Linked DNA regions of Drosophila melanogaster. The protein of the gene in region 4 purifies or fractionates together with the protein of the main gene of each other region. This does not show direct contact. Each region holds a gene or a part of one and is shown on either strand. Other genes may lie near its edges. The genes, in order: Ada2a, Atac2, Mocs2B and Atac1.

Region 1 (8,223 bases), on a different chromosome or scaffold from region 4:
AAATAACAATAAAACTAGTTTGTTTTACATTTTGACGGATTTATTTTAAGTGATCCTTTCAATCATGCATCTTTCTTGATTTCACGCGTTCAGTATGATAGAGAAATTTTACATAGTTTTTAAATGAAGTTTTCAATAAAGATTTTCAAACACATTTTCTTCTATCATTATCATTTGCTAATCAAGCATAGCTTCGAATCGAGATCAATCCCACATTCAGTTTTTAATTATTAACCAAGACTTAGCCACAGAAAATGAAGATTCGTACCTGTCAATGCATCCAAAAGATGCGAGCTTAGAAGGCGCACTGCTGCTGCTCAGAAGAAATATATGTCAAACTAAATTCTGTGGTCATCGGAAAATACAAGCAGGCAGGCACATAAAGCGACAGCGCTTCTGCGTCAAATCAGAAGTGTCCACTTAAGCTGAATGTATAGCTGGGCCAGAAGCAACACGAAAAGTGGGTCTAGTGGCCATTGTTTTCAGTTTGCTGATGTGCACAATGGAAAAGCCGTGTGCATACAGATACAAATACTAAGATATCTATATTTAAAAATCTGGACAACAGCTGGAAGAGGCGAAGGTAAGGAAACAGCAAAGGGCCCGAATGCGGTTTAGTTGCGAAACGTTGCTCGAGTCTCGGAGATGGCACTGCAGCTGCAAATTGAGAAGCTCAAAGGTTTGGACAACTACAAGGCCTGGTCGATGACGGTGCGGGCGTATCTGGAGTCGGAGGAACTCTGGACGGTGGTGGAGAATGGTCCCGAGAACAACGAGGAGGTGAGTGATGGTGTGGCGCCGTTTATGGCTACAGAAAACCCATGTCCATGCCATACTCCTTGCAGTCCCTGCTAAAGGACAAGCGGGCCAAGTTCTTGATTCTCTGCCTGATCGAGACCAAGTTGTGCCAATTCATGGTCAGCATCCGCACGGCTCGGGATCTGTGGAATTACTTGCGCACCCAGCATTCGCTGCGTTAAAGTAGAAATCAATATAGATCAGTTTCAGTCCATTGTATTACAAATATATGAATTACACTTCACATGCGTAGCGCCCTTCTCCTAGGCTTCCGGAAGTTCGATGACTACAGGCTGGTCCTCGGGATCCTCGTCTAGCAGGCCCTCGAATTCCCATCCCAATTTTTTCTCCAGCCGCTTAGTTAGCCGCTCAGCGCTGACACTTAAGCCGCCCGCATGCAGATTGACCAGCAGTTCGCGTACATCTTTGTAGACGGTGTTATGCGGACCAGGCACCATCAGCTCCTCGGGCAGATGGGGCAGCTGGTGGGCCAAAACCTCGCTGTATTTCATGTACGTTAACTTGTGCTTGGTGACCGCCGTTTGCGAGTGAGCCAGCAAGCCCAAAAGCTTGCGCCAGTGGGCCAGAGACTCCACAGAGTAGCCCACTAGGAAAAATGCGTAAGCCAGCTGCAGTTCCTCAATGAGTCCATCGGCCGTTTCAAAGCCTTCGAGCAGTTTGTCAACAGCATCGATGCAGTCCAAGGCATGGCGGGAAACATCAGCGGGCAGGGCATCTTGTGGAACACGCAGGGGTACGGTAGTGAAGCGCGGAGCTGTTCCTTCCACGGGCTTAAGGTCCGGTAGGAGTTCGCTCTCATCTAAGAGAATCCGAGCTGCAGCATTCCGGCGGCTTATGCTGACAGTAGCGGCTCCACCTCGCGGCCGATCTGCGTCCGGGCAGGATTGCAGTTCGATGTTCGTACGGATGGTTCCTTCTGTCGGACGGCAGCGATCCACGCAAGACTCCGTCACGCTGCCGGTGAGTTCCTTCCACTGGACCACGTAACGATAGTCGTACGGCGCCAGCACGCGCTCCAGTTGGGCTAGGTTTTTGCGTATTCGGTCTCGCTCCACTTCCGGTTCGGCAATCCTCCGCGGGCGCAATTCCTCCAGTTCGTGGTCCCACTCTCGTACGACAATCTCATTCGGATGGAAGAAGTGCACGAATCCAACACGAGGGGCTGCATCGCCGTAGGGACCACGGGAGGAGCACCATACGTAGTGGACTCCGGGTGGAATCATCTTGACGCCTCGGAAATCCGGACCAATGGTGTAGGCACAAAGATCAATGCCGAATTCCGTGCCCTCGGGTACACCGGCGATGACCAGCACTCCGCCATCAGCCAGGAGGCGTAGGGCTAGCTGCGGATCCATTTTCATGCTGGAGTTGTCCTTGTTCATTGTGAAATATTGTTCGCTTGCAATTATTAGGAAAAAGAAAACAATTGCAAGTGCGGGCCTTTCAGCAAGTTGCCAGATGTGACGGCTATTTCGATAAGTTCTTTCATGTGAGCAGTCTGGCAACACTAGACAAACAATTCTTTCAAGCGGCAAATTCAATTTATATATACTTTTTTTTAAGTAAATCTTTTGTTTGATATAATTACATTGTATTTAGACTTTGTTGATTTTTGTTACAGTGTATATTCTGCATTTACTTAAAATTCTTGCTGTTCTTCACTTTATTGTGTAAGTGGACCATGACTTTATATCTAAACTATATTTATACGTAGTAGTAATTAGTATTGTAAGCTGCGTTTAGTGCCGATATCGTCGAGTATTTGGCGCAGCTCCTCATCCTCGAAGCGACCCTCTAGTGAAGGAATCAGCGCCTTGGCCTCCTCGGGCGCCTCCGGACACAAATTACCCAGTGCCGCCAGTTCGAATTTGTGCAGCTTTTTCTGCATCAGCAAGCTGAATTTGAAATAATTGAATATTACTACTCGTACGTGCTTTGTTCGGTTTTGCTACATTACCTTCGCGCAGACATTATGGTCTCCTTGTTTTTGAACTTTCGAAAACTATCCGTGTAGGCGTACGTCTTCATGAAGACCTCGGAGAACTCTTGCTCCTCGTCGGCGGATTCGTTTTGTCGCTTTCGGTGATCGAGAAGCATGTGCACCTCCGATATCAGCAGCGTCTCGGCATTTTCGAACTCTGAAACAAAGAGAAACGAAAGGGTTTTTTTTTCTTGAATTAGTTACTTGACGACATTCAGGAAATTTACAAGTGAAACATTGGAGAAAAAATTAGCCCTAGCCATAGGACGGTGGTCTGCTGATATGGCCATGTTCCAGCAGAAAATCGTAGATCTGACGCGTTTTGTTCACGTCAATTTTGATGAGACGTCGCGCATCGGCCAGTCGTAGATATCCGAGCTTTGCTTGCTCCGTAACGAGTTGATTCTTGTAGTCCAAATACGACTGCGGAACCAGACGAGCCACACTGCACAACTTTCGCTCGCCATCATCCAGTTTGGAGTAACCAGGCAGATCTGGGATCAAAGAAAAATTATATTCAGTTGGTGTCAGGCAATGAGTAAAGTGTTTCCCACCTCCAATCTCAATGGGACTGGCCTTTCGACGCGTGTTCATCACATATAACTTTGAGTTAATGGCCAGGGGACCAGGATCACCGCTCCTGTTGCTCTCGTAATGCTGCACCAATTGCTGCCAGTCGAAAGCATCTGTTTGCTTCAGCCTGCTGTAATCTCGCTGAGCCTGCTGACGTTCTTTGCTCAAGCGGGCATATAATTTGGCTCCGGAAAGAGTTCGAACGCCGTGCTCCCGCAGATCGTATAGCTTGTGCAGCTGGCTATGCAGCTCCCGATAATAACGCAGAGACTCCAACAGCATATCGAACTTAATGGGGTCAGGACAGATCTGCATGAAGCCCAAGAAACGCATGCAACTCGCATCGCTGCCAAAGGCGTGCACGTACTTGGAAATCCAGCTGACGGTGCGATTGGGCATTATGAGACCGTGTTGCCTCATTATCTTGTAACGACGCTGGCGCTCTCTGTGAGTAAATATGCATATTAGATTTTTTTTAGTAGCTTTCTGTTATAAGATCATACCTGAGGCGATTGTTGTATGCCCGAACTAGTCCGAGTTGCAATTCCTCTGTCACTTCGCGCTCAAACTCACTCTCAGACGCCTCGTTGTCGTCATCCCTGCCCCTATGATCCACCATAATAGATAGCAGACTCTCTGCTGAGGTGTCGTACGGAGTATCGAAGTCTCCTCTTGCACAGCGGTAACCTGCGCTTAGTCTGAACTGCATGGAGGCGATGTCGTCATGACGTGGTGGATCCAAGCTGCGCATTTTGAAGACATACGGCATTCGCTCGGGCACATAGCTGTCCCTCGCATGCTTCAGATTAAGGAGCCGCTCGAATATCCCGCCAAAGTAGCAATCGTGGTAGTGACGACGCACTTCTGCGGGTTCGTGGCGCTGGTCCAGAGCCTGGGAGACCGCCTCCCAGTTGCCATAGCCGTGGGTGCGAAGTGTTTTCAGCAGTATGCGCTCGTCCCGTGCCGTCCAGTGTGGCTCATCGGCGAAAACCTGTATGTTGTCGCGGACTATGATGTAAGCGTGGTTATTGCGGTGAGAAAAGGCCTCCTTTCCACGTGAGAAACATTGCAGGCAGAGCAGGGTGTCGAGGCACTCGGAGCACTTAATGTACGGCTCTGTGAGACTGCAGCGACATGTGGCACACCGATTGGCATCCTTTGTAGCCGATGGAACACTGCTATTCTGGTCCCGCGTCTTTTCCTCCATCTCCTCCAAGTACCTGTGCAACGTGTGCGGATTATACAAAACCATGGAGTTCCTGGTGTGTTCATTCTGATGTGCATGGATGAACCGCTTAACCTGTGGCCCCAGTGGCTCAACTGCAAAGAGGCAATTCAGTGTGGTAAAAATGTGGAGGAGTGCCACTTTTGGGGCACTCGAAGCCAAAGGTTTCAGCCAGTTTCACTTGTAAGTTGCATTTCGGTTGGTGTAGGGCGTTGGTTACCTTTGGGAAACTGCAGGTCGGCGGCGTCCTCATCCACCATATCCACGGGGTTCATAAAAGACATAGTGAGCTAAGAACTGCTCAGTTTGTTAAAGTTTATATTAAGAAATTCTAATTTGCACAATAAAATGTCGCTGTTTTTAGTGATGAGAAAGGCAGGGCTATAACTGGCGAAGAAGCTATCGATAGGTGGGTCGCATCGTGCGTAGATACGTTGGTCACACTAGCAAGCATGTTGAGTTTATCATTCCGGGTGTTTTGATTTTGTTCGGAATTCTTGGTTTTTTTCCAAGAGAGTTATGTCCCTGGTGCCAGAAGCCTCTACCTCGAGAGCGCCCAAGTACTGCTACTTCTTCAAGACCCTGCTGGTGGAGGAACTGGAGCTGGAAACTTCCTACCACAACCTGCACTACGGTCAGTGCGCATTAATTGGACGTCTGGCGTTCAAGGCGAATCAGTACCGCCTAGAAAACGTGCGCGTTAAGTGTTTGCCAAAGTAAGTTTTTCTATATTACCTATCCATCCGGTCCTTACCAATGATGCTGCATCTTTCAGGAAGTACTCCTTGGGCGAGGGCACCGTATCCTTGCTTATTCTTGGCCTTACCCATGACAAAGTCGTCGAAAATCGCGTGAGTACCGGCCGCTACTGCATTGTGCGTGGTGAAGTGGTGCTACATAATGTGCAGCATCCCAAAGGTGCCAAACTGACCGCCGGCGGTGTCTACGACAAGATCAATAGTCTGTCCAACGATCCGTTGGCCCAAAAACAGTATCTCAGCGCGCTACTTGCCACCTACAGACCGGCCATCGACTTATGGTACATCCAGGTCATCGACAGAGCCGAGGACTTGCTGACTCGCAGGCTGGAGATGAGAAGTCTGATCGAGAAATGAACACACACCACCTGACCACCTCGCGAACCAATCCGCAGTTCTATATATTCAGTCAGCTCTTTGGTAACGATTTCGACTGGAATAATTGCAATTGGGGGGGCATTCAAAACGTTACCTGGAAAGAATTCTGGCAGCGTGAGGGGCATGAGCTGCTCGAGCAAAAGTGGCACAAGCGGTTTCCCGAATACAAAGATCTTATCGAGGTGGTTTCGTCGGAGGAGCAAGGCCTTTGGCAGGAACTGTGGGAGAAGCACGCCAGCGATTACAGTGAAAAGTTCTGGTATATATTTAGCTGTGCCTTTGAGAACTACCAACACGATTTGGCCAAATCATTTGGCCTTGACGTCGCTGAAAACTCAGAAGATGTTGAGGAGGACTTGCAGAACCTAAGCCTTACAAATAAGCCAATAAAATCGAAACAGCAAAGGGTCACAGAGAAAGAGGAGGACGAATCATACTTGACTGCCAACGACGATCCCGAGGATTGTGACGAGGAACAACAGCTGCGCCTTCTCGGATTGCCAACATCATTTGCGTCGAAGGCAGATATAATTAATTATAGAAAGGAAAGAAAGACACAGTACGAACTATCTAGCAGCGATAGCGAGGACGATCATGATCTGTTGACCATGGAGAACAACGAAAACGAGGCTCTGCACGGCGTTCAGAGCGGTTCTGTTAAAAAGAAAAAACGACGGCAAAGGCAAATAAAAAAACTCAAGGCCAGGATGCCAGAGTGCATGCAAGAGGATAACAACAAAATGGTCAAGTACTGGGTCAAGCGATTCTCGCTGTTCTCCCGCTTCGATCAGGGCATTCGGCTGGACCGCGAGAGCTGGTTCTCGGTGACACCCGAGAAGATTGCCAAACAAACGGCCCGACGACTGGCCTGCGACGTGATCGTAGATGCTTTCTGTGGATGCGGCGGCAATGCCATTCAGTTTGCAAACACCTGTGGACGCGTAATTGCTGTGGACATCGATGCCGAGAAGTTGGCCATGGCCAAGCATAATGCCGGCATTTATGGTGTGGCCCATAAGATCGAGTTTATCCACGCCGATTTTCTGCAGTTTGCGGCCAGCACAAAGCTGCGCCCAAATGTGGTTTTCCTGAGCCCTCCGTGGGGTGGTCCTGACTACCAAAAGCAGGCCACCTTTGATATCGAAACAGGTCTCCTGCCCGTGGGTGCTAGCCAACTGATGCAGCTGTCCCGTAGCCTGGCATCTGACGTAGCTTTCTTTCTGCCACGCAACGCCAATATGAAGCAGGTGGTCGCTCTAAGTGGAGTTGGGCAGCAGTGCGAGGTGGAGCACAACTATCTGGACACCCGAATGGTTGCGCTCACTGCTTATTATGGTAAAGGAATCATAAAGGGTTCAGTGGGAGAAGATGAGTAGGATTCGATTGAGAGTAATTTTAATAACATCATTGTTTTTATATAAATAAATATATTTAATTTCATACATATGTATAGTTGAATGGATTTAAAAAAAAAAACGGGCTCATAATTTCATGGCATTTTTTGCTTATTATTAGATATAAATCATATTCAAAACGAGCCAATAACATAATATGAAAATAAATCTATGAAAGGCATTTTAACTAATATGTAATACAAATGATTTGGTAAGTATCTTTAATTAAACTCGAAGCATATAAGCACACAGAGTTCACAAATTCCTGTAATTATGGATCAAAGGAAAATGTTGGCTATGGTCAACAACTTTTTTGTTCATTGTTTATCGCCTTAAGTTTTTCCCTCTTTTTGCCACATAGAAAGATAGGAGAAAAGTTGACTAATGAATAAAGCCGCCTCACATGTAACGCAAGAGTAAAATCTTTTCACCCATCCCTTCAGTGCAGTGATTGTTGCCAAGTGACCGGCGATGCCAAAGAGTCCAAGCTCTTTAGCCAATTTAGATGGCTTAACAAAGCTCAACTGGCCAATGGTCAATGGTCATAACCATAACGTTCCGCAATCCCTTCTTGCAACTGGCATTGGACTTTTAATTAAAACGCAAAAGGAAACAAAGCGTGCGTCAATTTTTAAGAACTTTGTGCCACAAGTTGTGACTTGGCCCAAAAGCCATGGAACACAGGCAGCCAGCCGCATCCTGCTGAACCTGGCAACGTCGGTTCGGGGGCAATTAACATGCTCGTCTCGCGGCGCAGGCAGCAGTTCCTTCGGCATTCCACAGCAGACGGCAGACGATGAGCCGGAACCAGAAGCAACAACCCTTTTCATGGCTTACAGCTTACTTAGCTCTTTCGGATGGGGTGCGTTCGCTTGAAGGGGCTTGTGGTGTGGCCAGTGGGCGGTGGGCGGGGCATGTGCGGAATTTATAGCTGCCAACTGGCAACAGAGATATTTACCCCTTCCTCCATTATCCCCCAACCCCGCGCCCCAACCAGTTGCGGCAAGTGGCTGCTCCTTTCCACTGCAATTAGTTTGATTAACTTATTAGTGTGCGTCGGAGCAGCTCGAGCGAAATTTGGAGCATTCTTTCCGG
Region 2 (8,288 bases), about 12 Mb from region 4:
GGCGACAGAATTGACAGAGGAGAACGTGGCGATGACAAGCGAGCTGAAGACCTCACCCACAAAGACAAGGAAAAGGAATTAGAAGCCATTCGAGAACGCTACCTGGGCATAATCAAGAAGAAGCGCCGGGTTCGCCGACTCAACGACCGCAAATTTGTTTTTGATTGGGATGCTGGAGAAGATACCTCCATTGACTACAACAATCTCTACAAGGAACGCCATCATGTGCAATTCTTTGGCAGAGGAAATGTGGCTGGCATCGATATCAAAGAACAAAAGCGTACCCAGAGCAAATTCTATGGAGATCTGCTGGAAAAAAGGCGAACCGAGGCGGAGAAGGAACAGGAGAAAGTGCGACTAAAGAAGATGAAGCGCAAGGAGGACAAGCAGAAGTGGGACGATCGACATTGGTCCGAGAAGGAAAATGATGAAATGACTGAACGCGATTGGCGTATCTTCAGGGAGGACTACAATGTTACAATTAAGGGTGGGAGAATTCCCAATCCCATCCGAAGTTGGAATGAGTCCGGATTTCCCAAGGAGATCATCGACATTATCGACAAAGTGGGCTACAAGGAACCAACGCCCATTCAGAGGCAAGCTATACCCATTGGTTTGCAGAACAGGGATATTATTGGCGTCGCTGAGACCGGTTCCGGTAAAACATTGGCATTCCTCATACCCCTGCTCTCTTGGATTCAGTCCTTGCCCAAGATCGAGCGTCTGGAGGATGTGGACCAAGGACCCTATGCCATTATAATGGCTCCCACGCGTGAATTGGCCCAGCAAATCGAGGAGGAAACAACCAAGTTTGGACAACCTTTGGGCATACGAACTGTGGTCGTTGTGGGTGGTTTGTCAAGAGAGGAGCAGGGCTTCCGCCTGCGATTGGGCTGCGAGATTGTCATTGCTACGCCAGGTCGTCTCATTGATGTGCTGGAAAATCGGTATTTGGTGCTGAACCAATGTACATACATTGTCCTCGATGAAGCCGATCGTATGATAGACATGGGCTTCGAGCCAGATGTTCAAAAGATCTTGGAGTACATGCCCGTCACCAACCTGAAGCCCGATACCGAGGAGGCTGAGGACGAAACAAAGCTGATGGAGAACTTCTACACTAAGAAGAAGTACCGCCAAACCGTGATGTTTACGGCAACGATGCCTCCGGCTGTGGAAAGATTAGCTCGCACATATCTCCGGCGACCGGCAACGGTTTACATCGGATCTGTTGGCAAGCCGACAGAGAGAACAGAGCAAATAGTGTACATGATGGGCGAGAACGACAAGCGCAAGAAGCTTATGGAGATTCTTTCGAGGAAAATCGATCCACCAGTTATTATCTTTGTTAATCAAAAGAAGGGCGCCGATGTTTTGGCTAAGGGTCTGGAGAAACTCGGCTACAACTCGTGCACATTGCACGGTGGCAAGGGTCAGGAGCAGAGAGAGTATGCTTTGGCTGCTTTGAAGTCAGGCGCAAAGGACATCCTGGTGGCCACCGACGTCGCTGGTCGTGGTATCGACATCAAGGACGTGTCCTTGGTTATTAACTATGACATGGCCAAGACCATCGAGGATTACACACATCGTATCGGTCGTACGGGTCGTGCCGGCAAAACCGGTTGTGCCATTTCGTTTGTCACCAAGGACGATAGCGCTTTGTTCTACGATCTAAAGCAATGTGTGTCTGCAAGTCCTGTCTCGACCTGTCCGCCGGAGCTAATGAATCACCCGGAAGCGCAGCACAAGCCTGGCACGGTGGTTACCAAAAAGCGCAGGGAGGAAAAAATATTCGCCTAAATTTGGCAAATTCTAAGCAGAACTACTTTAGGTTAAAATTTAAAACTAATAAAGTTGGGTGCGCCAAAGCCATACCTTGGCAACCAAAAATTCTCTTTCGAAATAGTCTTTTGAAACTTTAGATTCATAAACCATTTATTTGAAAAAAGTCTCATCTTTGTAATCTCAAAAAGAAGGCATTTCTGCTCTGTTTCGAGTCCAGAGGCAGATACTTGTCATAAAAGTCCAAGATGATTTCCTCCATCTTAAATCCGAATTTCTGGTACAACATGACGGCCGCGTTGGTGGCGGAAACGTGCAACGTTATGTCCTTGGACATACATGTCTGGATAAGGTGATATAACATGAAGCTGGCGATGCCACTGCGTTGCCAGCACGGCCGCACCGCCATGAATGAGATGTAGGCCTCGTTGTAACCTACGTCGGGCACTAGGAATCCGCAACCGATGACCAGTTTCTTGTACAACGCCACTACACTGTAGTCCGGGTAGCTCAAACACTCGCTTACTAAAAGGGAAAAAATCATACAAATTTGTACATTAAAAAAGCTAAAAAGAAAATCATGAAACCCACCATCAATGTTTGGCCAAAAAGTACTTTGGAGTAATGCGTTTACGGCCGGAATATGCTGCGGTCTCACAAAACAGAAGTCGATGGTAGATCTTGTGGGATGAGATCCGTTTACTCTATGCTGCAGCTCGCACATAAGCTTCAGCCATGGAGGAGCCATCGTTTCGCTCCGAAAGATAAATGGATGAAGAACTCTTTGAGAGTAGGGCGATTCAAAGAGCTCGTATTGAGTGCATCCCGCCAGGCGGGCGTGAAAGGAGCTCCTTGCATCTTGTCGTGAATGGGCTAACAACTGATATCTGTCAAGAATTTCGGCCTTCTGATGACCCAGCATCTTTAGGCGTGCTCTTCCCAGGGGATCTATGTGCTCGTCCAAGTTAAATATGTGTCGATTGTGGTCCCTTTTCCATTTTCGAAGAGAAAGTTTTCGATATAGGCGCCGCACATAGGCAGGTATGGATATGTGGCACTGATGCTCCAGTGCGAATATTCTATCGAGTCGCTGGTACAACTTCTGTTCTTCGTATGCATTTATTAGTTTGAGATTTTCGCTAGGAATGGCCATGTCATCGGGATCCTGCGCCTCCTGCAACCAGGGCCAATTTCGCCGTGGTTGTCTGACAAATCCACTCGGTTTGCAAGGCTCTAGGATAGAGGATTTGCTATTTGTCGTGACGTCATCATCTTGCATTATCTCTTCTAGTGGTTCCTCTTTGATGCTTTCGTTTGCCTCTTGCGCCTGGTAATTTGTAACCTGTACGATGCGTGGCTGATAGTCGGGTGATTCGTCCTCTTCTGGCTTTTCATCTTCTACCTCGCCTTCTTTTTGTTCCTCGCTGCTTTCGGCTGCAGGTTCTTCTGTTGATATGGGTTTGGTCTCATCAGCGGTATTTGGTATGGCAAAATTTGTATCCATGTCGAAAAGACCTTCATTATTCAAAGGTGCGTGAAGCAACGGCTCGGTCATGAAGAAATCATTTTTACCCGCTCCAATCAGGGGTGGGGGCATTATGCCTGGTAGGTTACCAAACATGGTAAAATCATCGCTTTCCAAACTTTCAGCCAGAAAATCCATCAGGCCTGCTTGGACCATGCTCATAGGCTGATTCTGTGGTTCTTCCTCCTTCTGACTTGGTGGCGCTATATTTTCTTGAAGAATTGGTGGCCCTGGAAGCGTTTCCTGTGACAAGGGTGAAGGTTGTGTTTGTATCTTTGGCAAACGGCCCATGTAGGGACTGGAATAAAAGTGAAAGATTTTAATGAAAGGAACGCATAGTTGTATTCAAAATTAATTATCTTACATTGTTCGCGCACAGCCCTCTGTTGAACTGGGTTTCTCAGCTTCTGCTTTAATAAGCGGTGGGTTATCCTGGGCATGATCCGCCACTGAGATCTCGCTGCTACAGCTGGTCTCGTCCGCTGCAGGCAACCGCTTTTCAATACGCATTTGTAGCCGCAACTGTTGCTTTTTCTCATCTGAAATGTGACGACTTGTGAAATCTATCATATCATTAACTTAAGTGGCACTTACATTCTTTGAGAACGCTTCTTGGGGTTTGAAAGGGCTTGGCCAGTTTCCACCAGCCGTTCTCCTGAAAGACATCCAGACCAGACTGAAAGTACTCCGGACTGTTGTGGGACAGTGCGCCGGATACGGAACCAGTCCATTGCTTGCGACGCCGCCTGAACAAGGGGAATAAATTGAATGTGTTCTCCGGAAATTATTCATTTACGAATACTTACACATTGGGACCGAATATATAGTTCCAGTTCTTGTCCACAAAACTGATGATGTGCGTGCGCCAATGGAAGAATCCATGGTGTCCCAAGCCCTTTTGTTTGATGGACAGATTGTAGAGCGTTAGGGTGAGCACCAGCAGCCAAGGTATCCTTTGGCGCACGATCACTTCCTTAATGGGTTCTAGATCTGAGGGTATGACCGATTCCTTAGCTTTATCCAGCACACACTTGACGCACGTGAACTCGAAGAAAACGTCGCCTAAAAGATCTCCGGGCGTGCAAGCATGCGGCAGGCATTTGATGTGAACCATCCGCCTGCATTCCTGGCACTCCAGGTAGTTGTCGTCCTCCACCGGCGATTCACAGTAGCGGCATGGTCCCTGGGGATCATCCCAGTTACTGGGCCGATTCATTTACTCAGTAAAACAGCACAAATTGCAAGTTAAAAACAATCAACAAAATAATGTGTTGTTTGTGTGTTACCGTTTCGCACTTTTTGGTTTATACCATATATATGAGAAGCTTACATTTTGAAAATACCAAAAAATCGCACTGTGCTCGGTTCAAATTTGTCAATAATTTGAATTGGGAAAACAAAAAATAAAATTAATTTGTATTCTTAATTGATCTTTTCTGAAGCACTACAAAACATATTATTATTAAGCACTTATTTATTTATTAACATTGCCGTTTTAAAATGCCGAAGATGTCAGCATTAACATAATTTAAAATAATTTTTTATTGTTAAAATGTCATAAATAAGCATTTTTAATTAATATGGAACAGAGACAAGGCTATGGTCTTCGCATATTATATACCCTCTTCTCAGGTGTATTCAACATTTTCTTGTCACATTTTTAGAAATTGCAAGCAAATATCAAAACACTTTTTAAAAGTTTTGAGCTCTTGGTGGGCGTTAGAGTGGGCGTGGCATTCTTCTGAAACAAACTGTGATGCGTCTACATGTCTAGAATCTGATTGCTCCATCTTAGCTTCCTAACTTTTAAGTTCCCGAGATCACAGCGCTTATACGGACGAACAGAAGGACACGTTTTAATCGACTCGTCCACTGATCCTGATTACATATATATGCTTAATACTGTCGGGAATGACTTTTTCTTTTGTTATTTCTTATGCCAGTTACCTACTTTTCAACGAATCTAGCATATCCTTATGCCCTTATATACACTATATAAAAGATCCCGATTGTTTTTTATGTTCTCCCTATCTAGAAGATAAGAATCCGCTTGATTAGTACAGTCCCGTTTCGCTTGATCAAGCATGCGTTTGTCACGCCCTACGCCCACCAAGCACATTAGTACCAACGCCCACCACCCACCACCCAACGCCCAGCGTCCTTTGGCCATGCAACGAAAATGACATTAATGGGCTCTTTACGGCTTACGCATAATTAAGGCTGTTTCCGGCAGACCATCGACCATCGGACCTGGCCCCATTGCTTTTGGCCCGGTCAGTGTGTTGTCTTAAGCGGGCCTAATTAGGCATCGCCGGCTGCTGCGTTCTGGCGAAGCTGTTGCTTCTGCTTCTGCTTCTGCTGTTGTTGTGTGTTTGATGAAGTGCATGATTGGTTTATGGACTGAAGTGGGATGGTCGAAACTGCAGGCCGGCTAAGTGGGGTATTCAGTTGAGAACCAAAGCTGAACGGATCCACAATTGTTTCTTTTGTAAATCACTTTCTATTTGCCGAATGATTATTACTGCAAAGCATGCAGTTTGTGCATCTTACAGGATATGCACCTATTTACGATTTCACTTCAACACTCATCGTTTTCAATTCAATTTGAATATTGCACTTCAAGTTCTTCCCTGCCTTTAATATCTGTAGTTGAATTCCTTTCAACTTGCTTGTCTGGCGCCTCGAGGAGATTTTCATTTAATTCGCGACTGCCCGCTGGCAAGTCGAAAAGAGCGAAAAATATGGTGAAACAAATTAATTTGTTGGTGCTACTACAGCCAAAAGTATATCCCCGAATTATGTTTTAAAGTATATCTATATCTTAGTTTTGCGAAAGTTAAAATGAGTTTCACTCATAAATCACTTAAAGCTCGAGGGTAAATATTTTCTGGAAAGAGCTTGACAAATTGGATAGTCGTTTACTAGCTGATTATGACATTTACAGATGCGATGCTGGTTAGAATTTGTTTGGCCACCCATTTTGTTCATAACAACCGTATTTGCTCTCAATCACCAGACTTATTGCACCTTAGCTCCACGGCCATGGCTTGACCGTTTTCCGAACGATTTAAGGCCAGGTCCTGGCACAAAGGGAAAAGTAAGGGAAGGATATGGGGGCATCCCCCCATCGTGAGGGGCAAACAAACGCCGTCTGGCTGTCACTTAATCGAAGCCATTAGCGTTATTAGTGGGGCTGCTACCAGCCGATGCACTGAGAAAATATATACGATGCTCGATGAATATTTGATTAAATAGCATTATAAGTTATATAATTTAACAATAATTGTTAAATTCTTTGCAGTCAGGTGTAATTGTGTCTGGATCTCTATTACACTTCTTTAGTAGATACAAAACAGAAATTAAAAATAAATTGTAAGCTATAAGAATAAATATTTTATTAACTTTAAAACATATATTTTAAGAACAAATTATGTTTTGATTTCCTTGATCATTTGTATGATTTATGTTTTATATGCATCTATTATTCCCACGCCTGACTGGCGGCCAAGTAGAGGGCAAAGAGTGTCTGGACATTATGGATGTAGTCCGCCTGCGACTCCAAAGGTCCTTCCACTCCGAATCTCTCGCAAAGAACTCCCACGTATTCCGCTACAGAAATGTTCTGCTGCAGACAGGATCTGTAGGCCTGATCAAGGGCATTAATGGTTTGTTCATCGCCAAAGGATCTCGGCCAATCCTCCAGGAGGGCATCTATGTCCTTTCTGGGCTGGACATCGTACATTGACTGAGTCATATGCACTTGTTCCACCTCAGTGATCCACTTCTCTATATCCTTGCCCGATCGGGCGGTGGGAACCAGTGATGCGGAGGAGGCGTGACGCGGATTTCGCCCCATGCTGCCACTCAGTACCGACCGAAGTTTCATATTCAGCAGACTGGGCTCACTTTGAGCGCCAGAGGGCTCATCGAGCAACCATAAGCCCAATTTCTCCAAGTGATCGTTCAGATCCTTCTGGCGTTGGGGCTGCAAAAGAGGCGGAGCCTGGACTTTCAGAAGGGCATCCACATCACCCACAGCGGGCACAAACTCGGGGATGAAAGGTTGCAGGTGAAACGGAGTATCGATCGTTTGCGGGGTGTATTTGACGATGTAGGGAAAGAGTTCCTTGAGTTCTCCGGGCACGGACAGATCCTCCCATTTGTCGGCACTCATAATAAAGGATTGATCATCCTGCCGCTTAGATCTTCCTGCTCCACTAGCACTTCCCCTCATGGGAAGCGTTAGCTTTTGATGTGGTAGCTTGGCTCCGCCTCTTGCTCCTCCGGATCCCATTCTGCCACCCATTGCGGCCTCCTCGCTGCCCGAGCTCAGGGTGTCATCCGGTACTTGCTTGGAACTTCGGTTGCTTCCCGGCCGCTTTTGCATGTTCGGCCCGGGCACCAGACCCGTCATTCCCACGCCCATGGTCATGCCCTGGGGCAGCTGCATCTCGCTGTCATCGTCATCCTCGCTGTCCTCCGCCTCGTCATCGTGATCAATGATGTCCTGCAGCAGACCATCGTCATCAGTAGAGTTGTTTTGGAACTGTTGCATGGAAGGAATATGCATATATGAAATTATTATATTCATTGAACAAGAATTGTACGCATTTAAATTGCTCCTTAATACTTATTTTCATTTCGTCACCGTGGAAATTCTTTACCACTCACCATTCGACGGTGCCTGCCTGCGGCTGCTCTTCGTACAGCTCCTTCTCCGCCCACTGCTCCTGGTCCACCACCGCCAGCACCACCTCTGCCACCGCCTGTTCCTCCATTTCGGGGCTCCATTTGAACACTGCTCAGGTGCTTGGAGTCGGGTCCGCCGATTGTGATCTCCTCGTCGTAGAAGTTCATGGCCAAGGACCAGCTGCGAGGACCCGGATTCAGATTCAGATTCAAATAGCTCTCCAGCTGCGAGTCCTCTCGAGCTATTCAGTTTCCTTTCACCGTTTTCCTGCCCACTTCCTGGCTTTCCGCG
Region 3 (7,309 bases), on a different chromosome or scaffold from region 4:
TAACTCTCAAATCTGGTTCAATTTTAATCCGTAGAAATTTTACATCATGGACAATTCTGGAAATAACCGCTACGAGCTGTTGTTCATGGACGACGATGACTCCTCTGGGCTCGCACAGCCACAGATTGCCGCTGTAGTCGCGGCGCCCAAGAAGCCGGAACCGGCAAAGGCGCCAAAGGCACCAAAGAGCAAGTCGGAGAAGGAGAACAAGCCGGTTGTGGCTGCCCGCAAGGCCAACGCTCCGGTGGCTAAAAACGCTAGTCCAGTGAAAGGCGGCAAGGGTCCCGCTGGCGGGGATGTGGGTCGTCCCAAGAACCCAACAGCAAACGGTGCCAACAACCAGGGCAGGTTCAACAACAACCAACGCTACGGAAATAAGGAGTCGAACGGAGAATTCGGAAACGAGTTGCCGCAGCGTCAATTCAACAATCGTGACAACAGGGGACCACCACGCGTCCGTACCGGCGAGAAGTTCGGAAAGCGCGAGTTCGATCGCCAGTCGGGATCCGATAGAACTGGTAATTATGTCTAGATTCTTCTGTCCTTGGTTTTCGTGTTTGCTTCTCAAGTGAATCCGTTTTTTCTGCGTGGAAAATGCTGCCCTGTAATGGCGGCATGCTGCAAAATATAGAGAAAACGCAACCCTTGGCAACAAGATTGATTACATATCGCGTATTTCTCACGTGACTTTTAGGCATTTGTAATACGCAAAACGTTTGAAAACGTGTTTGTAAATATTAATTTTAAATGATGAAATAATGAAATTACTGCGTTGCAAACTCGTGTGTTCACACATGTGTTTTCTTGGACATTTTTTTGTTTGATTTTTTTGATTTTTGATCTTATAATTTATTAATTTATTAATTCGTTACCGAAAATATAAAATTCGTTTGGTTAAACTTTTAATTTGTCTTATACGGCAAACATTTTCCCGAAAATCCTCTTTACTCATATCGATTGAAGCCTATTAATAGCTGATTTATTCTCCACAGGCGTCAAGTCAATTGACAAGCGCGAAGGCGGTGGTGCCCACAACTGGGGCTCCCCGAAGCAGGACATTGAGGACTTAAAGACGACCGGGGAGACCTCACCGCAGGCGGAAAAGGAGGACTCGGCCAACGAACAGTCGGCTGATCCCGCGGTCGCCGCCGAAGAGGATGAGTCCAAGCAGATGACCCTTGACGAGTGGAAGGCTTTGAGAGACCAGCGTGCCAAGCCCAACTACAATTTGCGCAAAGCGGGCGAGGGAGCCGCCGACAATGCCGAGTGGAAGAAGATGATCGTGCTGAGCAAGAAGAAGGAGAGCAACAGCGAAGACGAGTTGGAGTATGATCCATCGCTGTATCCTCAGCGCGTGGGCCGCCTTCAGCGCATCGTGGACATCCAGTTCAACTTCAATGATGGACGCAAGGTCGGATTCCGCAAGGGACCTCGCCCCGGAGCCGGTCCTCGCGAGGGTGGCTTCCGCAATGACGGACCTCGCGGAGAAGGTGGCTATCGCAATGACGGACCTCGCGGAGAAGGTGGTTATCGCAACGACGGACCTCGCGGAGAGGGTCCACGCAATGAGGGACCGCGTGGAGAAGGCTACCGCAATGACGGACCGCGTGGAGAGGGATTCCGTGGTCCCCGCTTTAACAACGGACCCAGCAACGGCTATGAAAACAGACAAGACAACAACAGATTCGGAGAGAAACGCCGCTCCGCCCAGAAGCCACTGAAGGTTGACGATGAAGCTCAATTCCCCACTCTGTGCTAGGAGTTGAGAACAACAATAAGATTTAATAATTTCGCGTATTAAATAATTAGTAAGCTGGTCCTTCGGTTAACAAATAACCATTAGATTTTCGGGCGCGATCTATGAAGCTTGACGACCGATTAATAAACAGAAACAAATCAGCCACGCTTATCCATATTCCTTAGTTGTAAACAAAAATTTTTGCATTTTTCACTCTCATCATTTACGCATAAAAAAAACTATTACAAATAGTTGGAATGTTGAAATAAATTTACATCAATTACAAACCAAGGAATAATAATTAATTAGGTTTTTATTAGCTTAATTCGCTGCCATCCTTAATCTTTTGAATGAATGCACTTAATTCTTGCGCCGAATACGATTTCTTTCGGCTCTTCTTCGGCGGCGCGGCTTCCATAGATGACGGTTCACGTTTGGTCTGAGAATAGATTGAATTTTTTTAGAACTGCAATTACAGGAAATGTTTTAAGAACCTACGAAGTGTCTGTACTCGGGCGAAATGGACTCCAGTTGCAGCAGTCTATTTTCCACTCGTTTGATTCTACTGAAAATGTTTTCCTCGTTGTCGGTGGTTAGACCCATGTACGATTCAATTGCCTGTAGTCGTGAATTGGGTAGCGATTTCCTCATTTCTTTGGTTGGATCCGTTTGACCGTCACGCGATCCCATTAGTTTATTCAGTTCGAGTTCGTAGTTGGGTCGCATTTCCATTTGCTGAGGTCCGCATCGGTTGTTTACTCGTCGGACTGTGATAGGTTGTTTGTAGACCAAAGTGGCTATAGTTATGAAAATAGAGCATCGTTTACCCACCTTTTAAATGGCAATTTGACTGCTCCTGCTTAATAATTGTGCTCTGCGTTCGAGCGCAGGAATCGCTCAAGTTTTGGTCTGAGCTGACAAAAGACGATTTGAAGTCAATTACATTTTGTGAGTTTATTTCGTCTCGTTTTCTGTTGACAAAACATTCTAAACGCTTGGTTAACTCAGCGTCATTAACTCTAATTTGCACCAGAGTTCGCGGGACGTCATGTGACTCCTCAACTTTGCAGGGACAAGCGGCGTAGTTGAAGCCACTTTTCGATTTCTCTACAATGTACATGCACAGATGAGAGAGAAGCCAATAAAATCGTAAACGCTCGATTGTTAATTATATTTACAAGTGTACAAATAATAAGAATACATGTCATGCTGGCTACTCATAAGATCTTACTAGGCCTGATGGACTCCTTGTTCTCCTTCCATTCGCTGTCGTTATCGCCGTCGTAGATTTCCTTTTTCCAGATGGGAACCCGAGTTTTTAGCTGGTCTATTGCAAAAGATACTGATTCTAAGGCCTCAGAACGATGTGGTGACGAGGCGGCTATAACTACACTGGCTTCGCATACGGGCACTGTTCCCAATCGATGATATATGACTATGTGCTTCAGATCGAGCCACTTAGATCGGAGATCTGAGCATATTTTATTCATTTCCTTGAGTGCCATGCTATCGTAGGCCTCGTACGCCAATGACAGCACCTGAAAGGTCGAAAAGTACAAATGAATCAATGAAATCAATTGATTGAGATAATGAAGCCACCTTTTTCCCTTGAAAATTATCGCGCGTAGTGCCCACGAAAACGGATGAGGCTCCACAGCCTTCATCGGCCAGCAACTGATGGATATGAGCGATATCTATGGGGTCGTTTACCAATTTCACGTGATCCATGGCGGAAAGGTTAGCCTCCACTCAGTGGCGGTATGATGGCGAGTTCGTCTCCTTCCTTAAACAGAATTCTATCACTCAGGTTGTCAATGTACGACTCGTTGTGGGCCAAAATCAAGTTATCCCGGATGGAGGTCAGGCCAAATTTGGACACCAGGTGGTCCAGCAGTTCGGTGGCAGTAATTTCAGTAGGAACTTCCACTGTCGACCGGGGAGTGTTTGCTAATTCACGGGATTTAGCAAAGAACAACACGTGCACGTTGACAACAGGTCCATCCGCATTCATATTTACAAATGAAGATTGGCGATGACACAGCAGTTCCATTTTCCGACTACCTATGTATCGATTTCTTATCGGAACGAAGTGGAATAGTCCACGGAAAGGGAAACAGCTGACTGAAACTTTATTAAATGCTTAATAACTTTTTAGATAAATCAAAGAAGCTTCTTACTCATTGCATAAACAATACAAATATTTAATACATAGTAATTATACAGCGAATTCATTCTGACAATCCGAATCATCAACAGCATACAATCGATATATTTTGTTTAAAGTTCGTCCATCGCAATTTACACCGATACTTAATTTCGCAAGTGAATAAAATTGTTATTATTCCCTATTAAACTAATTTAACTTATCTAACGTAGATAGCGAACTTGTGAATATTTAATGATAAGTTAAGTTGCCAGATAGATTCTTTTTTCTTCACTTTCCGTGTTGACATCGTCAACTTTCCATAAAGAACCATGAAGACACGTTTCAATACCTTCGATATAATCTGCGGAGTGGCGGAACTGCAAAAGTATGTAAAAAATCCGGATAATTCCGATGCCCAGGAATAATGGTACATCTACATTTATATTCCAGGCTGGTCGGCTGGCGAGTGAATCAGATCTATGACGTGGATAACAAGACCTACCTCTTCCGGATGCAAGGGACCGGTGCAGTGGAGAAGGTCACTCTGCTAATAGAATCTGGTACAAGATTCCATACCACTAGGTTCGAATGGCCCAAGAACATGGCTCCGTCCGGTTTCAGCATGAAGTTGAGGAAGCACTTGAAGAACAAGCGCCTGGAAAAGGTTCAACAGATGGGTAGCGATCGTATTGTTGACTTTCAGTTCGGTACCGGTGATGCCGCCTACCATGTTATTTTGGAGCTCTACGATCGTGGTAATGTGATCCTCACCGACTACGAGCTGACCACGTTATATATTTTGCGTCCGCATACGGAGGGCGAGAACCTGCGCTTCGCCATGCGCGAGAAATATCCCGTGGAACGGGCCAAACAGCCCACGAAGGAACTGGAACTGGAAGCTTTGGTTAAGCTGTTGGAAAATGCCAGGAACGGCGACTATTTGCGACAGATTCTAACACCCAACTTGGACTGTGGTCCGGCAGTTATAGAGCATGTTCTCCTCTCACACGGCTTGGACAATCACGTTATCAAAAAGGAAACAACGGAAGAAACGCCGGAGGCGGAGGACAAGCCGGAGAAGGGCGGTAAAAAGCAACGTAAGAAGCAACAGAATACGAAACTGGAACAGAAACCATTTGACATGGTTAATGACTTGCCAATTCTTCAGCAAGCAGTAAAGGTAAGAACAATATCGTGGAAATATTTATTATTGCTGTTAAAGTAAATAAAACGTTCTGTGCAATCTTTTAGGATGCTCAAGAGCTTATAGCTGAGGGAAATAGTGGAAAAAGTAAAGGCTACATTATTCAAGTTAAAGAGGAAAAGCCTACAGAGAATGGAACGGTGGAGTTTTTCTTTAGAAACATCGAATTTCATCCCTACCTCTTTATTCAATTCAAAAACTTTGAAAAGGCCACATTTGAGTCCTTTATGGAAGCCGTTGATGAATTTTACTCTACGCAAGAGTCGCAAAAGATTGACATGAAAACGCTACAGCAAGAGCGTGAGGCACTAAAAAAGCTGTCTAATGTCAAGAATGACCACGCAAAGCGTCTAGAGGAATTGACAAAAGTCCAAGATGTGGACAGAAAGAAAGCAGAGCTAATAACGTCCAATCAAAGTCTGGTGGATAATGCAATTCGGGCTGTTCAGTCAGCTATTGCCAGTCAATTATCCTGGCCGGATATTCACGAGCTTGTAAAGGAGGCACAGGCAAATGGCGATGCTGTAGCTAGTTCCATAAAGCAGCTTAAACTGGAGACTAATCATATATCCCTTATGCTCAGCGATCCATATGACAACGATGAAGACGACGATCTTAAGGATCCAGAGGTTACTGTTGTGGATGTCGACTTGGCTCTGTCTGCTTGGGCCAATGCCCGTCGATACTACGATATGAAACGTTCGGCTGCTCAAAAAGAAAAGAAAACTGTAGATGCTTCCCAAAAAGCTCTTAAGTCTGCGGAGCGCAAGACGCAGCAGACGCTCAAGGAAGTGAGGACTATATCGAACATAGTAAAGGCACGGAAAGTTTTCTGGTTTGAAAAGTTTTACTGGTTTATCAGCTCTGAAAATTATTTGGTTATTGGAGGAAGAGATGCCCAGCAGAACGAGCTTATTGTTAAAAGGTTTGCTTTCAATTACTTAAATAGATCGAAGTATTTATAATTATGACATGTTGTTATTCCAGATATATGCGTCCGAAAGACATTTATGTGCACGCTGAGATTCAAGGCGCCTCGAGTGTTATTATTCAAAATCCCACAGGAGAAGAAATACCTCCCAAAACGTTGCTAGAGGCAGGATCCATGGCTATTTCGTACAGTGTTGCTTGGGATGCCAAAGTGGTTACCAACTCGTACTGGGTAACAAGCGATCAGGTCAGCAAAACTGCACCGACTGGAGAGTACTTGGCAACGGGAAGCTTTATGATCAGAGGAAAGAAGAACTTCCTTCCCTCCTGCCACCTGACCATGGGTCTAAGTTTACTTTTCAAGTTGGAGGATAGCTTCATTGAGCGCCATTTGGGAGAGCGTAAAGTTAGAAGCCTGGAGGATGATCAAATAGATCCAAATGTTAAAGAAAACGAAGTTGAACATGATCTTTTGTCGGATAATGAAGACGCTGATTCAAATATAAATCTATCGGAACCAAGCTCCAATACCGAAATTACAGCTTTTCCCAATACAGAAGTTAAGATTGAGCACGATACTGGTCGCATTATAGTCAGATCCGACTCCGTAAATCCAGAGATTGAAGAGACTAAAGAGAGTGAAGTTGTCCTAGACAAAATTTTGAAAAAGACGGACGATGAAGAAACGACCATTATTTTGGCTGGTCCAAGTCGTAAAAAGCAAGTAAGTGCCAAAAAGACCAAGGAAGACAAGGCACGGGCGAAACAAGAAGCTGCCAAGCAGGAAGTCCCTCCTGTGAGTAGTGAACCAAAAAATCCATCTCAAGTTAAGAGAGGTCAGAAGGGAAAGCTCAAGAAAATGAAGCAAAAATACAAGGATCAAGATGATGAAGAGCGGGAAATTCGCATGATGATTCTCAAGTCATCGGGTAAGGAAAAGCCACAGGCCAGTGCCGATAAAGTGGTGGAGAAAAGTGAGTCAACCAAGGAGTACGTGAAGCCAGAAAAAAGTGCAGCTCCCAAAAACCCAGTGGAACTGGACGATGCTGATGAAGTGCCCGTCGGTGGGGATGTGGATGTACTCAACAGTCTGACTGGACAGCCGCACGAAGGAGATGAGCTGCTGTTCGCGATTCCAGTCGTTGCTCCCTATCAGGCTTTGCAAAACTACAAGTAGGCTATACTGAAAGTTCGCATAAAATGTTTATTGTAAATGTGATATCCTTTTTAGGTTTAAAGTAAAGCTCACCCCAGGTACGGGAAAAAGAGGAAAGGCGGCGAAACTAGCACT
Region 4 (7,070 bases):
ATTCCCCTGCTCAACTACACGCCTCTTCACAAGCTGAAGGATCAGACTCTGGTGCGCTTTCGTGGAATGATCCAGGACATGATGGACCCAGAAATCTATCTGGAGCGCTACGAAGTGAAATCCGCCGACGGCAGCAAACGTGTACAGGAAGGAAAGTACAGGGACTGCTTGAAAATAGCCAATGGCGAAGTGATTGACTACAACGCCGATGGAAACGTGCATGGAGAGAGGCGTACCATGTTCGTGGTCTCTGTGCCTGGTCTGAACGATTGGAGCAAGGAGCATGAGAAGCTGTGCTGTCCCCAGATCGATTTGGCCAGTCTGGGTCAATCTCCCAGTTCAGCCAAGAAGCGGACTATTGTAGGCGAAGAAGAAGCCATGGATGTGGACGTTGCGAGCGAAACAACGTTCAAGCGACCCTGCCTAAAAGAGATTCAAAAAGATAGCGAGCCAGTCGGCGCCTCCAAATCCTCTGTTCTTGGGTCTGATTACCTGATTAACTCGCCTCTGCCGGATCGTCCCAGCATGGCATGCATGGTAAAGGTTTACGAGGAGTTCGATACCTACCAGCTTAACTCGCTGGTCGACTTTGTGGGCTTTCTGTCAGTGGATGCTTCACTAGACGCCGCTACCCTGGAAATAGACGATTGTGAAAACTTGAGTGAACTGCAGGCAGCTCATCCATCGCCATTTCTTATACCCCGCCTGCATGCCTTCGGAGTCCAGGTGCTGCCGCATGCCAATCCGCTGCTGGACAAAAGCCTTCGACAGCCAACGGAAATATGTGAGGAGACGTATCCAACCCACCTTGCTGTGCACAAAGATCTGCGCATGCTTCTTAAACTCTGCCTCTTTGATGACGATCTGGCTGCCGAGTATTTGCTCTCCCACCTAATATCTACGGTCTACAGTCGTTCTGAGATGCAGAGCATCGGCAAGTTCGCCCTTAACCTTTGTAATCTCCCTAAGAATTGTGAGGCGTATGCAACCAAGTTGTATCAAATTCTGGAGCTGCTACTGCCGGCCAGCCATTACATGCCCATGACTCTCGTCACACTAAACACGGCAGCCTTTGCCCCAAAGTAAGTTGGCTAAGCAGAAATAGTATAAAATTGAATACCTATTAATGAGTACTTGCAGGAAGGATTATGAGACAAACAAGCTGGTTTCCGGCGTACTACAGTTGGCTCCCCATACGCATTTGGTGCTCGACGAGACGTGCATGCAACAGGGCAAGCTGGAGGCCAATGGTGTTCATGCCGTTCAGCATTTAGCGCACTTGATCAATAATCAGGAACTGAAGTGCGACTTTCAGTATTACCAAATAGACTACCAAGCAAATATTCCAGTTCTCGTGCTCAGTGAAGGGCGAAGTATGTTGCCGGTAAGAATATAAGTTTATATAAATAATCATTATATCCAATAGAAACTATTAATGATATGTTTTCAGAGCGATTTTGTGCTGCCCATTAATGCCGATTCTAAGGCCGTGGAACTTGTTGATGAATCTCTAAAGGCAGCCCACCACTATCTGCAGCCATCACGTCTGCAGCAGTTTCGCAAGTACTTGACCACAGCGCGCACTAGCGGCTTCAACGTGAGCGAGGAGCACACTGAAATGATCCAGCAGGATTTCGTGGACATGCGTAAAGCTAATGTCAAAAGTAATGCCGATGATCTGCATGGATTGCTGGTCCTCTCACGGCTGCTGGGCATCGCCCGGGGGAAGGATACGTTGGACAAAGAAACATGGCAGCTGGCTACGGAGTTCGAAGCAAAGCGTCGCCAGCGTATTCAATCTCTGCCGAAATCATCTGCCCAATTGCGCAATTAAGAGGGCCTCTCTTTTATACCATTTAATATTAAGTTTTTATAAATAAAATAGAATTTTTTAAAATTATTCTCTTTATATTTAATTTGTAGCTTTACAGGCAAGTCTAGTAATTTAGTACTCAAGTAAATGGGACTCTAGGAGCGTCATGACTCTTGGTCCACTACAACTTCATGACTTAAATGCTCGAAACGCCCTTCGATTAGCTGACTGGCCAGGCAATCTCCGCACAGATTAAGGTAACAATAACAACTGTTACAACGCCATTGGGTCCTGGTCACAGATGCCTCTTCGCACTCGGCACACTTGGCGGCCAGCAAGTCTGGCTCATATCCGTCCTCCATTTCCCGTTTCTCGTCCTGAATGGCTGATAGAAGCTTAAGGCATAGTTCCTGTTTTCGCTTTGACTCCGCATTCAGATCGGCATCCATGTACTCGGATTCGATCTTTGGTTCGATCTTGGATGCCGGCATAAGGAGCATATCGCTCGCAGGCGATGGGATTCGCAGGTCGTCAAATGTGAAATCGTCCTCTGGCATTTGTAGCGATATATTATGAGCGGGGAAGAAGGTTGACTTGCGAAGTTTGATCTTCGGCTTACTCAAACCAGGACGTCGATGCTTGGGTATGCGACCGGGCACAGGCATTCCGGCATCGTGCAGCTTTTGGAAATACTTCTGGACACGACTATACACTTGCTGTGCCGTTCTGTTGCCCAAGGCCTTCGCTATCTTCCCGAATCTGCGCATTTCCACTTCCTCTGGCGGATACTGGATGAGCAGCTGCTCCAAGCGACTCTGCTCTTCGTTGGTCCACAAGCGATTGAAATTCTCCGACCGTCCATTGCTCCTGTCCCGATTCTTGTTCGCCTCTTGCGTCCATGAAGACGCATCGGTCGGTGTCTCATTTGTGCCCCCTTCCTCGTCATTGGGCGACAGAGTTGGCAAGTCCGGTAGAACGGTCGTGGTGATGTAATTATCCGCTATCAAAGGCTCGTTGTTTCGCAGTTTGTCCAGCATATGTTGCGGATTCTCCAAGTAGATATTTTGTGTGGCTTCCAATTCCTCAATCTGCTGATGCACCCGAATCCTTTGTGCCTGCAGCACGGCCAAAGTGCGCAGCAAATTGGTATAGCACTGGTTGCCACGCAGGGCCAGGTGCTCGGTCTCAAAGTGAAACACATCCTCATCTTCTGCAGATATCTCTGCTATTTCCATTACAAAGAATTAGCACCAAATACCCGTTTGTATACAAAAAATGTGTTTACGCCTCTGCGCTAGAGATGGCAGCTCATTAAGCAAAACAGTTATCGAAATTTAGCAACATATCGATCTTGGATCATTATCAGCTGTTATCAGCGAAAAAAGAAGAAGCGGAATACGTAACGTTTATTTACAAATTTAGCAATGATAAGTGCACCAATTCGCTCTATCCTTGCACTTACAGCAAAGGTAATTTCACGGAAAATCGAACGCACTTGACAATATTTTAATAATTTTAAAACTAACAGCGCACGGCGGTTACAAGCGCGGCCAATCAGGTGCGAATTGTGGAGGTTGGACCGCGGGATGGTCTTCAAAACGAGCCCAAACTCCTGCCGGCAGCCACCAAGATCGAGCTGATCAACCAATTGTCCGAAACAGGACTGCGAACCATAGAAGCCACCAGCTTTGTGAGCGCCAAATGGGTGCCACAGATGGGCGACAATGCCGAAGTGCTGAAAGGAATCCGCAAAGTGACTGGTATAAGCTATCCAGTCCTCACGCCTAATCTGAAGGGATTCGAGAGTGCTCTGGAGGCGGGAGCCGAGGAGGTGGCAGTCTTTGGAGCCGCATCTGATGCGTTTTCGCTGAAGAACGTTAATTGCACGGCAGCTGAGGCCATCGAACGATTTAAACCTGTGCTGAAAGCAGCCCAAAAGCATGGTGTGCGCGTCCGGGGCTACGTTTCCACCGTGGTTGGCTGCCCGTACGAGGGTGCTGTTGCGCCGAGTGCTGTCGTCAAAGTGGTGGAAGCCCTGTACCAAATGGGCTGCTATGAGATCTCATTGGGCGACACCATTGGTGTGGGCACTCCAGGCACAATGCGCCGAATGCTGGATGAGGTGACCAAGGTCGTCCCGGCTAAAGATCTGGCCGTGCACTGCCACGACACTTATGGTCAGGCTCTGAGCAACATACTGGTCTCACTGGACTATGGCATTCGGGTGGTGGACTCTTCCGTTTCTGGCTTGGGCGGATGTCCTTACGCCAAGGGGGCGTCAGGCAACGCAGCCACCGAGGATGTGGTCTACTTACTGCACGGCATGGGCCTCGATACTGGCGTCAACCTAGACAAACTGATCCAAGTGGGGCGGTACATCTGCACCGAACTGGGCAGAACCTCAGAGTCCAAGGTTAATCGAGCGTGGAAGGGACCGCAGGCGCGAGTTAAGTGATGATGCAAGCATTGATACTATCAAACGAAAACGAAGGCATTTACTAGCACTAGTTACACAATACATTTATTATCGTTGCAATATTTAGTCAAGGAGCGTGAAGTACTTTTATGGGCCTTAAAACTTTTGGGCATCTCTTATTGTGTATAAGGACACGTCGCCTGAGGCGAGCGACAGATCAGCCAGGCTGTGATTGGCGCGTCGTGGGATATGCGAAGACGACGGATTGCGGACTGCCTCGCCGGGCATTTTCATTTTGCCATCGTGGCGCATAACAGTAGGCTCCACGGCGGAGTTGAGGTATTTTTGAATTTGAGGTACCTTCGGCATGGGCAAAGGAGTTCGTTCATCAACCACCTGTTCAATGGAAGGTATTAGTTTACGTTCACTCATCATGGCTTATATATAAATTTAAACTTACATGCTTGATTTCGGAAGATATGTAAGCCTTTTTGGGAAGCAGATCAGCGGCTGAATCGATTCCATTGATAATTAAAGATTCCGCTTCACTGGACTTGGGTGTTTCGTCCTTTGTTGCGAAAAGTGCTTTAGGATGACACAAGCGAGACTCCTGCTCCAACTCACTGATGGCCAGTGTAGATAGCATATCAGAACTCGTTGGACGGAATGTACTCATTAGCGGAGCAGTACCAGACTTCTGGGTGTAGGTGCGTATGGGACTGACTATGTTGGCGTATGGCTGCTTTATCTGATTTTGGCGACGCTGAGGAATACCAGAGGCTGCACTGAAAAATTTCTTTTTGGTCCACTCCATGGTGAGGCCGACATTGAGCGGCTTTCTACCCGTGCTAGATGAACCTACAACTGTTTGTGGCTGATTAGATGACCGCAGCGGAATTGATGGCTGCAAAAAGGCTACAGCCGGTGATTTTGGTTCCGGCTTCGGTGAAACAACGAACGTGCTTTGTTTGGTCTTGGGCAGCACAGGGCAATCTGCCTTGACTGCGGCGACTGAAGGAGCCCCACCTGCCATGTACTCCATACCCTTTTGCATCATGTACTCCATTTCTTCCATGGTATCATTGAAATGCAACGAATTTTCCTTATTTTCAACGCTCTTCTCCGCTGGTTTCTGCTCAGTGTGATCTTTTCCGTGGACTGAGGACACACGGGACGTGTCTTCTTGTTTTACTTCTGGAACTAGCTGCACTTCTTCATCGTCAGAAGAGGATAGCTCGATTATTGTATCCTCTATATCGTCCTCTTCCTCCTCGACCTCATCCTTCGGAAGTGAGGCCAGCTCTCTAAGACTGCCATGAAGATCGCTTAAGAGCTCCAGCTCCTCTCCCTTGGACATTCCTGGTGGCTTGGCCTTGGCAATTGCGGCGTAAAACAATTCGTCGACGTTTAGGAGCGTTCCACTGAGGGAAGTATCCGTGGCTGTTTCGTAAGAACTAGATGCATTTGTCTTTAGGGTGCGAGCGCTTTGGAAGCTTGTGTGTGAAGACACATCAGACGACTCCAGTTCGCTGTCTTCGATGATGGTTGAGGGGCGAAGCAGCCCCACCATTTTGACAGGCGAAACCTTGGTCAATGCTTTAGGAGTCAGCCCAGAGTCGGATGAGGTCTCGTCCATTCCGGCCAGGGTGTTGTCCCAAAAGCGCGACGGCGCCTCAATGTCCTCCAGGTGAGTGCACTCCGCCCCCTTGACGGGACTTTCGTTCTCCAATAGATCGTCTTCTGTACCCACTGCCTCTAGCATGCGACGCAGTGCATCGATCTCTTTCTGATCGTCGGTGCTATGATCCCTAGCCCTGGCCATCACCTGACTCCGGTCCTCGCTGTGCAGGTACTGGAAAAGAGTGCTATCCGGATCGGAACCGGTTTTGTCGCACATGCGCTCAAAGGCACTGAAGCTATCATCGCCATCGTCCAAGTGCTCCAAGTCACCTGCCTCGTACATAGTATCCTCGCCGAGATTAACAGTCCTTTGACTGGCAGAATTAACGGCCAGAACTTTCTTGGCCCGCGCCTCCAAGGGTCTCCTCAAATCCTCGTCGATCTCCAAACTATAGCGCATATCCTTCGTTTCGTCCATTTTCACGGGCTTTTTCGGCAAGCTGAAAAAGGAAAACTGTTATTAGTTTTCTCAACTAAATTGTATGTGTGTCTAAACTGTCCAAACTATTTATGCGTACTGTTTCTCTAACAATTTTGACATGCAGGTGGCTTGTTTGAAAGTAAATGACTACAAATTCATCGAACACTAGTGCAACACTATCCAAGGATGGGTTTCAATGTGTATTTACCGCTCGGTCATTAGAAACTGACGGAGTTTCTGACGCCATTCCTCAGTGTTTTGGAATTTCTTGAGGCCAGACATCGTGAGTGTGCGAGTGTGCGTGTGTCCTGGGTGCAAAACTCCAGTCGACGGGATAAACACGTATAATTGCGCGTTGACTATAGTTCAGAGGATTTAGAGTTCGCTCCAGTCGATCACCTACCTTCTGGCAATAGTATTCACGCAGATCTTCCTTAATCTTCAAGGCGCACACGCAAATATTTCATGGATTTCTTCACAGCACGCTCATTTGCCAACGATCGACGCGCCTTTGCAGTCGTTTATTTCAAATGCCACGACAGAGTGCCCGTATTGCGCTTATATTTTTGAATGGGGTATTCCAATGGACACTACACATATACATCATCGGAGTTATATCACTTATAACAAATAATAATATAAAATTAAGACAAATATGTCTACCATTAAAAGCAATTGTACTGCTCCGTAACTTTTAACATATATTATTTATTATTATTATTTTGTGTATATATACAGAC

What was found.
Region 1: the proteins of Atac1 (region 4) and Ada2a purify together in Drosophila melanogaster (affinity purification with mass spectrometry; 4 studies listed by BioGRID, with this or other methods). This does not show direct contact.
Region 2: the proteins of Atac1 (region 4) and Atac2 purify together in Drosophila melanogaster (affinity purification with mass spectrometry; 4 studies listed by BioGRID). This does not show direct contact.
Region 3: the proteins of Atac1 (region 4) and Mocs2B purify together in Drosophila melanogaster (affinity purification with mass spectrometry; 4 studies listed by BioGRID, with this or other methods). This does not show direct contact.

Annotation. Positions count from the first base shown.
Region 1 is NT_033777.3:18,250,499-18,258,721, forward strand, and holds Ada2a (transcriptional adaptor 2a), read right to left. Parts: upstream 4,990-8,223; 5' UTR 4,883-4,989; coding exon 4,819-4,882; intron 4,739-4,818; coding exon 3,877-4,738; intron 3,819-3,876; coding exon 3,056-3,818; 3' UTR 2,958-3,055; coding exon of another isoform or gene 2,777-2,957; intron 2,715-2,776; coding exon of another isoform or gene 2,540-2,714; 3' UTR 2,345-2,539; downstream 1-2,344. Other genes in the region: CG18598 (uncharacterized protein), read left to right, coding at 646-780, 846-980; CG12320 (uncharacterized protein), read right to left, coding at 1,062-2,201; Polr2D (RNA polymerase II subunit D), read right to left, coding at 2,540-2,714, 2,777-2,957, 4,819-4,882; moi (modigliani), read left to right, coding at 5,118-5,314, 5,374-5,713; Tgs1 (trimethylguanosine synthase 1), read left to right, coding at 5,710-7,110. UniProt on the Drosophila melanogaster protein: Component of the histone acetyltransferase (HAT) complex ATAC; predominantly involved in acetylation of histone H4, including at Lys-6 (H4K5ac) and Lys-13 (H4K12ac).
Region 2 is NT_033779.5:18,607,656-18,615,943, forward strand, and holds Atac2 (Ada2a-containing complex component 2), read right to left. Parts: upstream 4,595-8,288; 5' UTR 4,524-4,594; coding exon 4,114-4,523; intron 4,054-4,113; coding exon 3,902-4,053; intron 3,847-3,901; coding exon 3,672-3,846; intron 3,606-3,671; coding exon 2,374-3,605; intron 2,308-2,373; coding exon 1,952-2,307; 3' UTR 1,921-1,951; downstream 1-1,920. Other genes in the region: CG10333 (uncharacterized protein), read left to right, coding at 1-1,800; IFT46 (intraflagellar transport 46), read right to left, coding at 6,789-7,853, 7,979-8,164.
Region 3 is NT_033777.3:25,123,598-25,130,906, forward strand, and holds Mocs2B (molybdenum cofactor synthesis 2B), read right to left. Parts: upstream 3,763-7,309; 5' UTR 3,750-3,762; coding exon of another isoform or gene 3,477-3,749; 5' UTR 3,467-3,476; coding exon 3,338-3,466; intron 3,277-3,337; coding exon 2,970-3,276; intron 2,846-2,969; coding exon 2,570-2,845; intron 2,506-2,569; coding exon 2,237-2,505; intron 2,178-2,236; coding exon 2,055-2,177; 3' UTR 2,035-2,054; downstream 1-2,034. Other genes in the region: vig2, read left to right, coding at 35-518, 993-1,759; Mocs2A (molybdenum cofactor synthesis 2A), read right to left, coding at 3,477-3,749; Clbn (caliban), read left to right, coding at 4,214-4,269, 4,335-5,064, 5,136-6,013, 6,076-7,191, 7,250-7,309. UniProt on the Drosophila melanogaster protein: Catalytic subunit of the molybdopterin synthase complex, a complex that catalyzes the conversion of precursor Z into molybdopterin.
Region 4 is NT_033779.5:6,957,206-6,964,275, forward strand, and holds Atac1 (Ada2a-containing complex component 1), read right to left. Parts: upstream 3,124-7,070; 5' UTR 3,049-3,123; coding exon 1,978-3,048; 3' UTR 1,894-1,977; downstream 1-1,893. Other genes in the region: CG3430 (uncharacterized protein), read left to right, coding at 1-1,082, 1,141-1,384, 1,451-1,834; Hmgcl (3-Hydroxymethyl-3-methylglutaryl-CoA lyase), read left to right, coding at 3,238-3,282, 3,342-4,268; sip2 (septin interacting protein 2), read right to left, coding at 4,386-4,625, 4,690-6,349, 6,539-6,612.